Schizosaccharomyces pombe: one gene and its partners. The main gene of each other region encodes a partner of the protein of the gene in region 2 in a complex. Each region holds a gene or a part of one and is shown on either strand. Other genes may lie near its edges.

The links. Proteins that work in one complex are often made in the same cells at the same time.
Region 1: tif313 (region 2) and int6 share a complex: the UniProt entries of both Schizosaccharomyces pombe proteins name them as parts of the eukaryotic translation initiation factor 3 (eIF-3) complex.
Region 3: tif313 (region 2) and tif301 share a complex: the UniProt entries of both Schizosaccharomyces pombe proteins name them as parts of the eukaryotic translation initiation factor 3 (eIF-3) complex.

The regions. Positions count from the first base shown.
Region 1 is NC_003423.3:938,047-942,110, forward strand, and holds int6 (translation initiation factor), read right to left. Parts: upstream 2,263-4,064; 5' UTR 2,216-2,262; coding exon 2,182-2,215; intron 2,126-2,181; coding exon 654-2,125; 3' UTR 575-653; downstream 1-574. Other genes in the region: oss1 (oxysterol binding protein), read right to left, coding at 1-45; U3 snoRNP protein Nop56, read right to left, coding at 2,779-4,064. UniProt on the Schizosaccharomyces pombe protein: Component of the eukaryotic translation initiation factor 3 (eIF-3) complex, which is involved in protein synthesis of a specialized repertoire of mRNAs and, together with other initiation factors, stimulates binding of mRNA and methionyl-tRNAi to the 40S ribosome.
Region 2 is NC_003424.3:384,415-388,495, reverse strand, and holds tif313 (translation initiation factor eIF3m), read right to left. Parts: upstream 2,214-4,081; 5' UTR 2,153-2,213; coding exon 2,102-2,152; exon of another isoform or gene 2,039-2,101; coding exon 1,882-2,038; intron 1,711-1,881; coding exon 710-1,710; 3' UTR 640-709; downstream 1-639. Other genes in the region: methyltransferase complex regulatory subunit Trm112, read right to left, coding at 1-44, 81-96; rsm19 (mitochondrial 37S ribosomal protein uS19m), read left to right, coding at 2,347-2,389, 2,453-2,558, 2,609-2,741; pre-ribosomal protein Loc1, read right to left, coding at 3,276-3,371, 3,436-3,510, 3,906-4,016. UniProt on the Schizosaccharomyces pombe protein: Component of the eukaryotic translation initiation factor 3 (eIF-3) complex, which is involved in protein synthesis of a specialized repertoire of mRNAs and, together with other initiation factors, stimulates binding of mRNA and methionyl-tRNAi to the 40S ribosome.
Region 3 is NC_003423.3:3,312,679-3,318,026, reverse strand, and holds tif301 (translation initiation factor eIF3a), read right to left. Parts: upstream 3,697-5,348; 5' UTR 3,690-3,696; coding exon 3,651-3,689; intron 3,606-3,650; coding exon 846-3,605; 3' UTR 575-845; downstream 1-574. Other genes in the region: DNA primase large subunit Spp2, read right to left, coding at 1-20, 79-244; histone acetyltransferase complex subunit Nto1, read left to right, coding at 5,147-5,348. UniProt on the Schizosaccharomyces pombe protein: RNA-binding component of the eukaryotic translation initiation factor 3 (eIF-3) complex, which is involved in protein synthesis of a specialized repertoire of mRNAs and, together with other initiation factors, stimulates binding of mRNA and methionyl-tRNAi to the 40S ribosome.

The sequences.
Region 1 (4,064 bases), on a different chromosome or scaffold from region 2:
AATAGGTTCATTTTCTTTTTTTATTGCTTGATTAGGATTTGGCATCTTTAGGTCCTGGTCCTACTACTGACCAAAAATCTATTCTTTTCAAGAGATATCTTTGCGTTGATAAATGTTGGTGGCACGGAAACGGATGCTGTCTCAAGCTTTCGTGGTGTACTGGTTTGATATGAAATTTAAACACCAAACTTACATATTAGTTGTAGCGAGTCTTTCGATTAAATTACGGTAATACCGTTGCAGCATCGTTTATTTATCTATCAATTAGGGAAATTTAATTTAATGCAATTGGATTAGTATTATTACAGCAATTTAATATATACATAAGTTAATTCCACCGACACATTTTCTACATGTTGAGATAGCGGCATTAATACTTTTGCATTAATTATTTATTTTTTATGCACTTCAGAAAATAAAAAAATTTTAGATAATATATATTTTTTTAATATCCCCGCATGTTTCAAATTTCCAAAATTAATATACTAATAGCGATATTCAATGAGCACGTTTCTTTAAATAGGAAAGTACACAGTCATCTTCTACAATAACGAGTTGTTTGAAAATACAAAATTAGCGAATTAATTAAACTCCTATGTTTTATTTTTAATGTATGAAATATATTCCACCTTTAAACTATTTGCTAATCTTGTCTAAACAGTAGCATGCTTTAACTCCGAAATGCTTTTAGCAAGAGATTGCTCCAAGTTTTGACTTTCAAAACTTAATGACTTTGTACGGTCTATAATCTGTTGGAAAGCTGAATAAGTAGGGTGTTCAATTATTATTGATTCACCGTCCAACTTAGCTTTAAACCCAAATTGTACCTCGGGTTCGGGCTCTTCGGCTTCAGTAGCAGTTTCGGCTTCCGTGATTAAATCATCAGCAACAACATTTGTAGAGGTAGATTCAATACTTTCATCTTCAGTACTTTGATCGGCAGCTACATTAGAAGCTGCGGCAACTGAAGGATTATTACGGTTTTCAACAAGTTGTATTAATTGAGCACTGTCCATTTCCAGCTTGTTAGCAAGCACATCAACACTTATGACACTGTGAATACGGCAATATGCCTCAGCAAGTAATTTGCGAGCACCTTCCAAAAAGTGATCGCACAAAGATACGAGAAAAAAGTCGGTTTTCAAAACCTCTTCACATTCTCTGAGGCAATGCTGAGCTTTTTCAAAGTCGACCTCAGTATACAAAGCAGAAATAAAAGAGGTCACAGGATCGCTGTATTCATAGTTTTCTTGGCTAATGATGCGTACGAGATCTCGCATCCTTCTTTGATAAGATTGCCTAGGGTTACGAGGTTTTTGATTTGCATTATTTTGGTTAGTAACAACAGCGACAGTCAAATATCTTAATAGCCAGGGACAAGAGGTTTGGATGGTGTTGAGATAAGGAGTATAGAAGAACAAATCACAAAGAGTATCACAACCATTTGCATGATTAAACAAAGGAAACAAGGACCAGTGGAGGAGCCAAGTTCGATTTCTCAATTGAACAGCAGAATCTTTAAAGCTTTTGGAGTCCACCATTTCGCGAAGTTTTCCCAATTCCTCCATAGCCCCATCCCAATCAACAGTCAAAATTTCAGAAGCAAATTTACCCCAGGTCGCGGAGGCGTTTAATTCAGGGTCTTTACTGAAGGCACGAAAATGATAAAGTAAATCTGATGCACCACCGTAGTTTCCACAATTATATTGAAATTGAGCAAACTTGTAAAGAACAGCTATACGTTCAGGGGTAATGTTGTAATGTTCTTGTAGGTGTTGTAAATTTTGACCTTTATCTTGACGAAGAGCTGCAATCAAGTCAGGATTTTCTAAGACACCTAAAATTCCTTGAACCTCTTCTTCAAGTTCAGAGAGCTCTTGCAAAACACTGCGTCGCTTTTCAGCAAAAGCATTTGCCATGTCCTCGTCGGTATGACCCCCATGAAGATTAGTCCACAAGTTGGCCACATAATCAGTCATATTGGTATCTTTAAGCAAATCATACTTAGCTTGTAAAAGCTCCTTTGGATCATGAGTCTGTCTTAAAGATAAAAATTCCAATAGAGGAAAAATGAGATGGCGGTCAAGGTGTTGCATAATTTTTTGCGACAAATCATACTTGACCGCTATAAAGGTTAGAAAACATTCTCCTGTATTTAAAAATAAATCTAAATTAGCTTACCTAAAGGGCTTGTACTCTTAAGCTCGGATCCCATATCTGATATGTTTCACGCAAAAAAAAAGTGCGTGGTGTGGGGAGGATAGCACAACTCACCCAAAACTCTAGTAGTAGCCCCCTTAGACTACAGTACTGAAAAGCAATATGACAATAGTAGGTCAGCAATGTTCGTACAAAAAATATTAAATTCCTTAATGATATTTTTGCTTTTTTTAACCAATAGTTTTTCATAAAACTAATTAAGCTCGAACTTACTACCAGCTAATGTAAATCAATGTGTAAGACAAATTTTTATCCGATTCTTGATCTTTACTTAAATTGTAATTATTGTCAAATACTGGTTTCTAATATTTTTTTAACTTTCGATATAAATAGCACTTCTTATACGAATAATACATAAATGCTACTTAATAAAATGTAAATGCTTACTAAGAGATAAGTTTTACACGTCCATCCATCAAAATGATAAGCTCGATATCAATCGATTTAGTAATATTACAGTATTTACGCCCATAATCTATAGCAAATTTTTCAATTACAAGTTGTTCTAAATATGCAAGAGCAATATGGTCCCCGTTATATCCTAATAAAAATAACGTCTCAATGGCTCTTCTTTTTCTTCTTACTTTTCTTGACTTCTTCTGATGCATCATCGGCAGAACGCTTTTTCTTAGACTTCTCCTTTTTCTTCTCCTTCTTGTCTTTCTTTTCTTTCTTGCTCGGCTTTTCTGAAATGGTTTCAACAGTCTCTTCAACGTCAATGTCAACCTCCTCGTCTCCGTCTATGTTAACACTCGATAATGCCTTTTCATAAGCTTCTGCCATTGCAATACTATTGCGAGTAGGGGCGACACCGGTATCGAAAAAGTTGAGACGTTCCTCGACTTGTCGACGAAGAACTTGACCAAATGCCGTAGTTGGGGCATCGCTAAAGTTATCAATACGGCTAGCAATAGAACATTTGTTAGCCAAGAAACGAGAGATGCGGCCTTTGTTTTTAGCGCCAGCTTTTCCAATAAAACTAGAATGGTAAATAATACCGTATTTAGGCGTGTTTCCACGGGTTTTCAGAGCACGGAACAAAGCCTTTTCAGCACCTAGAATCTGTACCGTAGAAGCCGGGCATTTTGACAAGTTAGTTAGACTTCCGGCATGAGAAATCAAACGAGCACCAACCATCTCACCAATTAATTCAGCAAGATTGGGAGCAACAACATTCATCTTCTGAACCAAATAGTTATGTAGCTGTTTACGATAATTACTAAGTTTAATAACACGTTCAGCAAAAGATAGAATATTCTCGAGGTCAATTTCAGAGATATCTTGTCCCATAGACACTTTACCAGCGTTGATTATACTTTGAGCAATATCTTTGTCATCGTCTACAACGGCTGCCAGATCATGAAGCATTTCGTCGTTAATGGTGGTTTTATCACCAACCAGTGTAACAATAACAGCGTATTTGTAATTGTCTCCAACGATCTTCGAAAGCTCAGGGAAATGCCAAGAATACCACTCTTTCATGCGCATAGCGAAAGTATTAATGTCCTTGTCAAGTTGATCAAGGATAGCAATAGCTTGGATAATCATGTTGTCATTTCTGTTAACATTGAACTTCACTTTTGCGCGAGAGTATGAATGTCCTAAACCAAGCTGAGCCCTTTCGAAATCACCGGGTGATAGTTGCTTGAGAAGTTTATCACCATGAAAACGAATACCACGGAGAAGATCCTGGGTAAGCTCAGAAGTGTCACATTCAATGGCATCAATTTCGGATTTAATAGACGTTGCTAAATTTTTGTCTTGGACTCCCAGAGACACCTTTTTCTTCTTTGAGGCTTTCGGCAAATTGAGTTCCAAAAAGTTTTTCAAAAAATCATTCAAAA
Region 2 (4,081 bases):
AGGAGAGCTTGTGCATTTTTTATTAGAACAGTTTAAGAAGTTTGCTATTCATTAGATAAACTGACTTGTGAAGTTCGTACCTGTTAGTAGCTTCATTCTTTTGCTTTCAAGTATTTAAGAAGTTGAATAATTTATTTACAGCCGCTTTTGTATTTCAAAAGAAAATATAAAGATTTCTAATATAAATACTATCAAGTCGTCGAAAACTCTTAAATTTGCCAGTAGCTATGGTACAAAAATTTTTTAAGTAACGTCAGGTAAGCAACACTTGATATATGTATGTTAAGTCAAAGTTATTTATGCGTTAGGAAAAACGAATGTTGACAGATTTGTTAGATATAAACAAAAGATTTAATAAAGCTAATCATTTTGCAAAATTAGGAGTCAATCTTCTTTCCTTTTTTAAAATCTCAATTTTACGTAACAGTTGTAGGTTACTTTTTTAGTTAGTGTACAAAAAATTCTTTAAGTTGACGACAGAAATAATTAGGGAAGTCTCTTGGTTAAAAAGAGTCTTGCACGGATACATCCATAATTACAAAGAAAGTGATTGCTGCTTTGAACTTCTTCGCTTTTGGTCTGCTATTTATTAGTGTACTGCAACCTAAAATTTATAAGAAAATCTTTAGTCTAAAGTCCACGTAATTGAAGGTAACTCTAATACAGGTGAAACTTAATGATCAGAATCCTATTTTATTTTTCTAATGAACTATTCAGAGGCTGTGACCGCGGATCCGTCTCTATTTCCCTTTTTGCTAGAGGCTATAGTAAAGCTAGATAAAGGTTGCTCCATTACTTGTAGCATGTAACGTAAACTTGAACCCCATTTAGCTAATTTTTCGTGTAAAGCAACCCATTCGTGCTTACCAAAGACACGATAGCTGCTACGGTGAATGGATAACGTTTTAGTCAACTGAGACATGCGGCCTTCAACAAGTCCAGCACGAATAACATCAATGATCCATAATTCTACTTCATTTTCATCAATCTTCAAACTCTTGGCTACATCACCATAGGATAATGTATTATTGGGAGCCTGGGTAGCTAATGAAGCAATAGTTAAAAGTTTCATCTTACGTGCAATTGCATCTTCATCAAATTTTTGGTGTTGGCAATGAGCATGGTTTTCGGCAACCCAACTTACATAATCGTCGGTCATCCCGCCGGACAAAATACCAAGTAACTGTAAAGTACTTTGTTCAAGCTGCTGAACGGGTGGAAGGGTGACAATATCATCAAAGAAAAAGTACTTAGGGCTGTTAACAGCGCGTTGAACTAATTCGCGAACCGCCTCGTCAGCAGTTGAGTTGTCCATTTTTACGGCTTCCAAAAGGAAAGCAAATGATTGCTCATCATCGTATGATTGAATAGCTTTAGAAACAAAAATATTAAATGCCCGATGGTCCGATACACTGACACCAGCTTCTTTAAGCCAGTCAGGGAAGTATTTCAAATTAGGTGCAAGAGTGCTAAACAAGGAATAACGGGTAGTGAGAGTAACAACACTAGTAAGAATGCTTAAACGTGCGTGTTGACGTTCTTTGACGGCCGTATTAAATAAAATGCTTAAGACACTGAGTATGGCAGGAGTGAGATTGTTGTTTTGATCGGCAATCTGCTCTAAGGCTTGGCAAAATTTAGAAACATGATCTTCGAAAGCAGCAGATTCTTGGATAAGATTAATAAAGACGGCTAAAATAGGCTCGAGTTCTGTTTCGTGTTAGTAATAGCATGGAAGAGAAAATAAGCGAAAACTTGGAAAGCTGCAAACCAAACACATCAGCTCATAGTATACTTTCAGAACTAACAATATAACAAATGCCCTTTAGCACTTATTAAAATAATTCTTTAATTTCCTAGCCTAAAACTATTTTGCATTACCTTTCTCAGGTGCTTGTGCCAACAATGGCAAGCGAGTCAGAAACAGATTAAGAACTTCTTTAACATTTTCAGAAGCCAAATATTCTCGGCAAAGAGCAAGTACATTTTTATCGGTATTAGCCTCAAGATTATCCAAATACATAGCCAATTCTTCCACCTTTTGAAATTTCGTTAGTTGAAAAAAGTTTTACCAAAAATCGCCGAGTCATTAGCGACATACCTGTTCCTCTACGGAAGAGTCAACTACCAAAATAAAATCAGAGCCTTCCATCTCTGTTATTAATACGAATCTAGCAGACGAGAAATGCAAATATTCGCTGTTAGTGGTAGTTGGAGAGTAGGACTTGGCACCTCCACCTCGTTCAATGGTTAAAACGAAGTGGAAGTAACAACACCAGGTTGCTACCTCACATTTATTAACGATTGCTGCATTAGCAATTAACTAGCTTTCTAACATTTCACCTCATGTTTTGGACTAGTGTAGCCAGAGCTCGGTCAGTCTGGAAAGGTAAATGAATATAAATATACTTGTTTTGAAAATAATTTAGAACCTGTTATTCTGACATTATAGGACCCAACGTGGTCGATTTCGGTGTCAACGTTCAGCAATGTATTAAAGGAAACGTTCCTATAAAAACAGCTGTGCGATCTGCAACTATTTTACCTAGAATGGTTGGGTATGATACTCGTATTTAGCAAGTGTGGACGTTAACTAACTAAATTCTAGTGCTCAATTTATGGTTCATAATGGTAAATCATATGCCAATGTAAAAATTACAGAAGATATGATCGGGCATAAATTAGGTGAATTTGCACCTACCAGAAAAGCATTTCATTACAGACAAACTAAAAATCGGTAATTATTTTGGATTCTTGGCGAAAACTGGGCTATATGGCCTATTCAAAACACTTTTCACATGGATTCATAACTACCAAGAATTTCAAGTCTGCCTCAAAATTTCAATTCGTGACTTTAAATGGAGCTACCATATTAGTATTTTGTAGGACATTTCCTGTAAGAAAGCGAATATATAATTCGCCGAATCTTTTCATTACTTTCAGGCTTTTAATGACAGCACTTCTTCCAATGGATGTACTTGCACGTATAAATGTATGTATGAAAAAGTGATATGATGTTGCATAATTTTCTGTCAATGTTTTACAAAAGAATTTTGCATTCCCCTACTTGGATTTTTTATTTTTAAATTTGAAACGCAATGGCTTATGTGTTTAATGTTATTGGTTGTACTTATTTAGTAGTCTGTATAATGAATAATTAACAGCATCGAAAAACCGAATGAACCCGATATCCCAAAAGAAAATGAAAAATTAATAATTGAAAGGCAATACGAAAAAAAGGATCTTTGGAAGTGTCGTTATAACAATTGAATAACTCATTTCTTTTCGTTTTTCCGACCCGTCTTTTTATCAGCTTTGTTATTGCTGATTTTTCTGTCAGATTGTTTAGAAAAGACGGCTTCGCGCTCGTGCTAACGTAAATAGTTAGTAAATTGACTGAAACTTGAAATCAAAATAATTCATGGAAATACTTACAGCCACTTGAAGTTTAGATTTTATTTTATCGTCAAGCTCATAAGTAACTTGATTGAGAATATTTTGAAGGTCATCCTGTAACAGCAATTAGTTAATGAACAATGAATGTGGAAAATGAATAAATAGATGAAGGAATGCCCATCAATTAAAATCAAAAAGTAAAAAAACAAACAAACCAAATCAGATCAAAAATTAGATTACATGACTCAAAAAGCGCAGCAAGTTCACTTAAAACCTTATTTGTCGGATCTGGTGGTAAAGAGGAACGAATGCGGAAGAATAGGGTTCAGGGCCTTGAAAGTTTATAAACAAGATTTGTAGGATTTATATAGAGAGATATTTATCATCGTAACATCTACCACACTGACTTGAGATTTTTGTTGTTTAATGTTTTTGAATATTACTTGTTGAGTAAATGGAAGCATTTTCAACATCTATAATGAAAGAACATGGATGTGAGAATGAATTACCTTAGTTTCAGCAAATATTTTCCCCTTCTTCTTCCCCTTTTTCTGAATCTTAGTTTGGGGATTTTTAGAAGTGTTTAGCTTGGGAAGGTCCAAATCCTCCACGCGAATTTGCTACAAAAAGAAAAAGTTAGAAAAAAGGGTTCGATTTTACCAGTAAAAGTAAACAAAGAAACATT
Region 3 (5,348 bases), on a different chromosome or scaffold from region 2:
TGACTCAATTTCACCCAAAACTAAATAGTTAGCTTACTCCAAAAGAATAGAAAATAATAAAGAAAATGGAAAGCATACCAACTAATCGGTCTATTGCCCATGTTTCAAACTCTTCAATGCTTATTTCAGAGACAGGAGGTTTCTTATAAAAATTAAGTCGCGTAGGATAACTTAAACTCTCAAAACTAGCACTAGAAAAATTTTGATTCTTTTCAACTACTCGACTTTTGGTCGTTCTGAACATGGTGGTTAGCGAAGAGTCTATTTGCGGTAACAAATTGTCGTGCCTCTCACCAAGAAACCTTTTTACTTTGAGTGTCTTTAAACAAATATTTTAAGCTGCTTAACCTTTTTGGTACTAATACAAAACACGTTGCTAATAATTAATGAATTATTTCTTCACTCGTTGTATTCAGAATTATTGAAATGAGAAATGCATACTACAGAAACGTCAACTGTAAAAACTCATCGTCGCTTATAAACTTGACATGTAACATCTTTATTCGATTAGTATCGTTCTACATTTACAATTAACAAGTCAAGCTTTAAGCAGTATTATACAAATTAAAAAAAGTTCAAAGGTTAACGATAATTATCTATTAAATAGAGCTACAAAAGGCTCTTTTTATACACATAACCGCTTTCATGAATTCCAATAGCATGAAAGTAACCAACTACCCTTGTAAGAAAAAGGAACTTACAACTTTCAATAGGAGAACACATTAGTTCATTTAAATTTATCAGCTGTGACATTAGATAATGCATCGTAAAGACTTGACTCCAATATCCAATTGCGACAATAATTAATTGTCGACAGGTTTATTTTCTTATAGACAGTAGGTTTACTACTGTTGTTGTTGATTACGTCTGCTTGGTGGAACATATGCTCCCTTAGAAGGAGCAAGGGTCTCACGAGGAGGAACAGAACCACGAGAGTAGCCACCACGAGAATACCTTGGAGAGTCTCGTGAAACACCGCCAGCACTAGCACCGCCGCGCCTCCAAGCACCAGGACTAGGTGAAGATGCGCCAATATTTGCTCTTCTAGCAGCTGCTTTCTCGGCAAGCTTACGAGATATTTCTTCATCACGCTCTTGCTGAATACGTCTTTGGCGTTCCAATTTCTCAGCCATTTCGCGCTGTTCGCGTTCTTTAGCTTCTCTAGCTGCACGAGTTCTTTCCTCGATAGCACGTTTTTGAGCTTCTTCTTGCTCATGAAGCTCACGGTTTGCCTCTTCCTCAGCAGCACGAGCAGCCTCCTCTTCAGCTTCGCGAATAGCCTCAGCCAATTTTTGTTCGAAAATTTCTTTACGTTGCCTTTCGCGCTCTGCATCAATGACATTTTTAGCTTTGGCGTATGCCTCCTGATATGCTTTATCACGTTCATCGTCAATATTTTGCTTATAGGCATGAATATAGGAAGCAAATTGAGCAAAAGCCTTTTTGTCTTTAATGGCTTGTTCATGCTTACGCTCTTGTACTTCCTTGCGTTGTTTCTCCCTCTCGTAAAAGATTTCGCGGTCATGTTCGGCTTGTTGTTTTGCGTCTTCTTCCCACAATGGGATAGCTTCACGACGATAAGCACGTTCCAAATGGTCGATACGCTTTCCAATAACACGCAAACGTTCGTTCATACTCTTATTTTGCTTTTCGACTTGTTCGATTTGCATAGCTCTCAATTTATCAGCATCCAAATGCTCCAAGTCTTCGGCATTGACTTCCAATCCACCCTTAGCTTTGAGCTCCTCGGCCAACTTTTTAGCTTCGTTAATGCGAATAGCTTCCTTCTCACGACGAATCCTTTCAGCATTACGTTTATTAATTTCTTCTTGAACGCGGAGAGACTCGGCTTCAGATTCTTGCTTTTGTTTGAGAGCGCGTTGAGCAGCAAGCTCAGCTTCACGTTGAGTAGCAAGTGTATCAGCCTGTCCACGACGTAATTCGAGAAGACTACGCTGAGCAATGACCGCTTTACGCTCCTGTTCAACACCAGCCTGAGCCCTTTCGTAGGCAGCCTCGGCTTGTTGCTTGCGTAAAAGGCAGAAATCGGTATCAAAACGCATCAAAACACTAGAAAGGGATTTGGCAATCCGCGTAAGTTGAGATGTAATTAATTCAGATGGAGTAGATTGAAGAGAAACAGAATCCGAAGACTTAATGGGATTAGAAAACAAGTCAGAAGAAAAGCTAATGGAATTTTCAATATGGTTCAAACGAATAGAAAATGCACCTTTCTTGTTACCATTCATAATGAATTTCTCAATTTGACCAGGGTTAAAATCGTAAGGCTCCTCGAATGTAGCAAGGTCCATAACATATTTCAATGAAATGGAATCATAAACTTGAGACAGTTGTTGGAAAAGACGAGTAAGAATAACCTGTTGTAAAGGACGAATGTATTGAGCAGTATCATTACTTTCTGCCAATCTTTTGATGATAGGCTGAAGTTTTTTGCAAATGCTCAATGGATGAAACTCAACTTCCAAAATCTGGTACAAATCACGGATAGCCTGATCACAGAAAGAAAGAACGCCACGAGAAATGGCATCCTTAATTAATGTTTCACGCGTAGGTGTTTTCGATAAGTTTAACAAAAGAGCCAAACGAGCATTCTTGCTCTTGGCATCTTCTGCCTCAATGGAAGGGCCCGATAATTTGTTGGCATCAATAATAGGGATAGAGAGAGCGCTTAAAATTACAAAATTAGCAGTAGCGGGTTTTTGCACATTTGTAAATGTGAAGTACCTATTCCAAGCTGCAGCATGAAGCAAATAATTATCACAAACCAAAAAGATTTTAATCAATTTACGGTAATAATTGCCAAGCATGACTGCAGCAGGAGCCCTCTTAGAGAACGTAAGCAAGCTGTGAATGTCTTCAATGGATCGGAAAGCTTCCTGCCAGAGTTCAAGCTCAACAGCAACGTTTAGCTGAGAGAAACGCATGTCCAGATGACGCTGCATAGTTTCAGCATCATTCAAGTTAATAGAGTGTGGAGCGTTTGAAAATTTAGAAGCATTGCCAAGATGGGACCGAAGGAGTTCACATAGACGGCGAAATTCGGTTTTACGCTGATACTTGAGGCAAAATTGGAATGCAGAGTTAGCAATTAACTGATACATTACTTCTAAACGAGCATTATTACGCAAAATATCAAGAACTGTACGATAAGCATCCCACAAAAATTTCAACCATGGAGTGACCAAAGCACGGTCTGTGCGGCTCTTGGAAAGGTCTCCCGAAACCAAAGACATCATGATGCTCTCGGGAGTTTCAGTAGCCTCAAGATCGTCAACATATTCAACTGATATCTTGTCTGCCTTCTCCTGAGCTTCTTGAACTCTTTTATTAGCAAGTTCAATAAAATGCTTGACTACATTCTCAATAGCGGTAACTGAGGTGTTTTGAACTGCGTTCTTGTAGGTGTACAAGCCTTCCTTTGCAATTTTTCCTTTGCGTAAATGAACACAAAGTTCGATGAAACGCATCATAATAGGCTCGAGAGAAAACCCCTGCGCGTTTCTTGATCTTTTCAAAACTATAGTCTCATGAAGAGATTGCAGTGCTGAGCTGTGCTGATCTAGAGCTATCAGCTCATCGGCAAGCTAATTTATGTTAGTCAAAGTAAGTAAAAAACTCATAATACATACCCTTAGCACATTTTCGGGCTTTCCTTGAGGAGGTGCCATGTTGTGCAGTTGAAAACTTCCCCCTTGTCGTAGTAAAATTTTATTACACGAATAGCGAGCTACCTCGCAGTTTTATATAAGCCACTAAACAAGAGGTACTTAATTCTTGATTTTGCAAAAAAAAATGTTAGCACATGCATATATATATAGTTAGTTGTTCATATCTTTCTTAGGTTTGACTTGAATAAGCATCACTTTTTGTGCAAAGAAATTAGTGGTTTACCGAATACGATAATATGACTAAATTTGAATAGATCGCCTAGTGTGAAGTGCTAACATACTCGTTAATCTATCATGTTTGTTTAAAAAATACCAGTTCAGTTTAGAACAGAGGAAAGCTCTATTTTTGCTTTTATTTGAACGTTTATGGGATAGTAGTCAGATTTTTCTGTTGCCGCTACTAATTACTATCGTTACACAATGTACATCCAAGAAATATTAGTACCGTTATAGTTTTGGAATTTTAGCCGTAGATCTGTTTCTACGCTAATCACCAAGTCCATTCTTTGTTTGATGTATTTGGTGATAAAACTAGTTAGTTCTTAAAATAATCTTTATTGCCGTTGAGTCGATACTCGCTTGAGTTCCTCATCAGGGCTTATGCATTGTTTTATACTTGTAGCATTGTCTAAACTCTTATTTACAATTGGCAACAAACTTATATAAACGTTGAGACCTTACCAGTGAAAGAAGTGTGGTTTGAGCGAAATATTTTCCGAGCCAATCTAAAATTTAAAGTGTTATCCTTGAAAAGTAGCAGAAACTCGCATTACTTTTACTCAAAGCTTGAATAAAGGAAGAAAGATTTAGCGAATATAGTTTGTCAAAGTATTATAATAAAGAGGTCATAACCCTATGTATTCCGAAAGATTTTTTTGTTAAAAAACGCTAAGTCCTCAATCTCTTCGACGCTAGGTAAACTCTAGAGGCCCATTTTGATGAAGCAATTTAATTGTGATTGGTGTAAATGTTAGACTTCTAGAAGAATAAACTAAGTGAAGTATTCGTTGATGGCGGGTACAAAAATATTAGCTTATAAACTATTCACAAAGATTCTTGAAAGGGCTTTTTATCAAGCATCTCGAAAATCTTTGTACTTTCACATCAACTGTATATAATTGTAACTCTTACATTTCCGTAAAATGCAAAATCACGCTTTCCAATTTCCTCTGGTTTTCTTTGAAAACAACACCAATAAATATAAAAAGAGAAAGAACGGGAAGAATAAATTTACCCCTTCCTATGTCCAAACTATTTTCATTTCAGAGTTCAACTGTTTACAATCATCTTTTTATTTCGGTCATTCACGTTACCCCCGCTTATTCTGCTTAATCATCAGCGGCAGAATGCACTATTGAAGTTTAAGCAAAATTGCACCTTTTTCTCGTAAATATAGTTACACCATGAAAGAAATGTAAAAAAGATAGTATGGTAAATCTATCTTGTAAAAGGCTTTCATGCAAACCTTCCGACTTACTTCTACTGGTCGAAATATTCTAAGACCCGATGAACTTGCTTTTCAGCCGAGAGAAGAGATTCCCTATAAATCTTTCCATCCAGACCTACAAATAGACGAACCTTTGGAAATATTAGAAGGTGACCATACACAATATGCAGGCCTTCGTGATTCTTTAGTAACCTATAAATCCGAGAATTCTT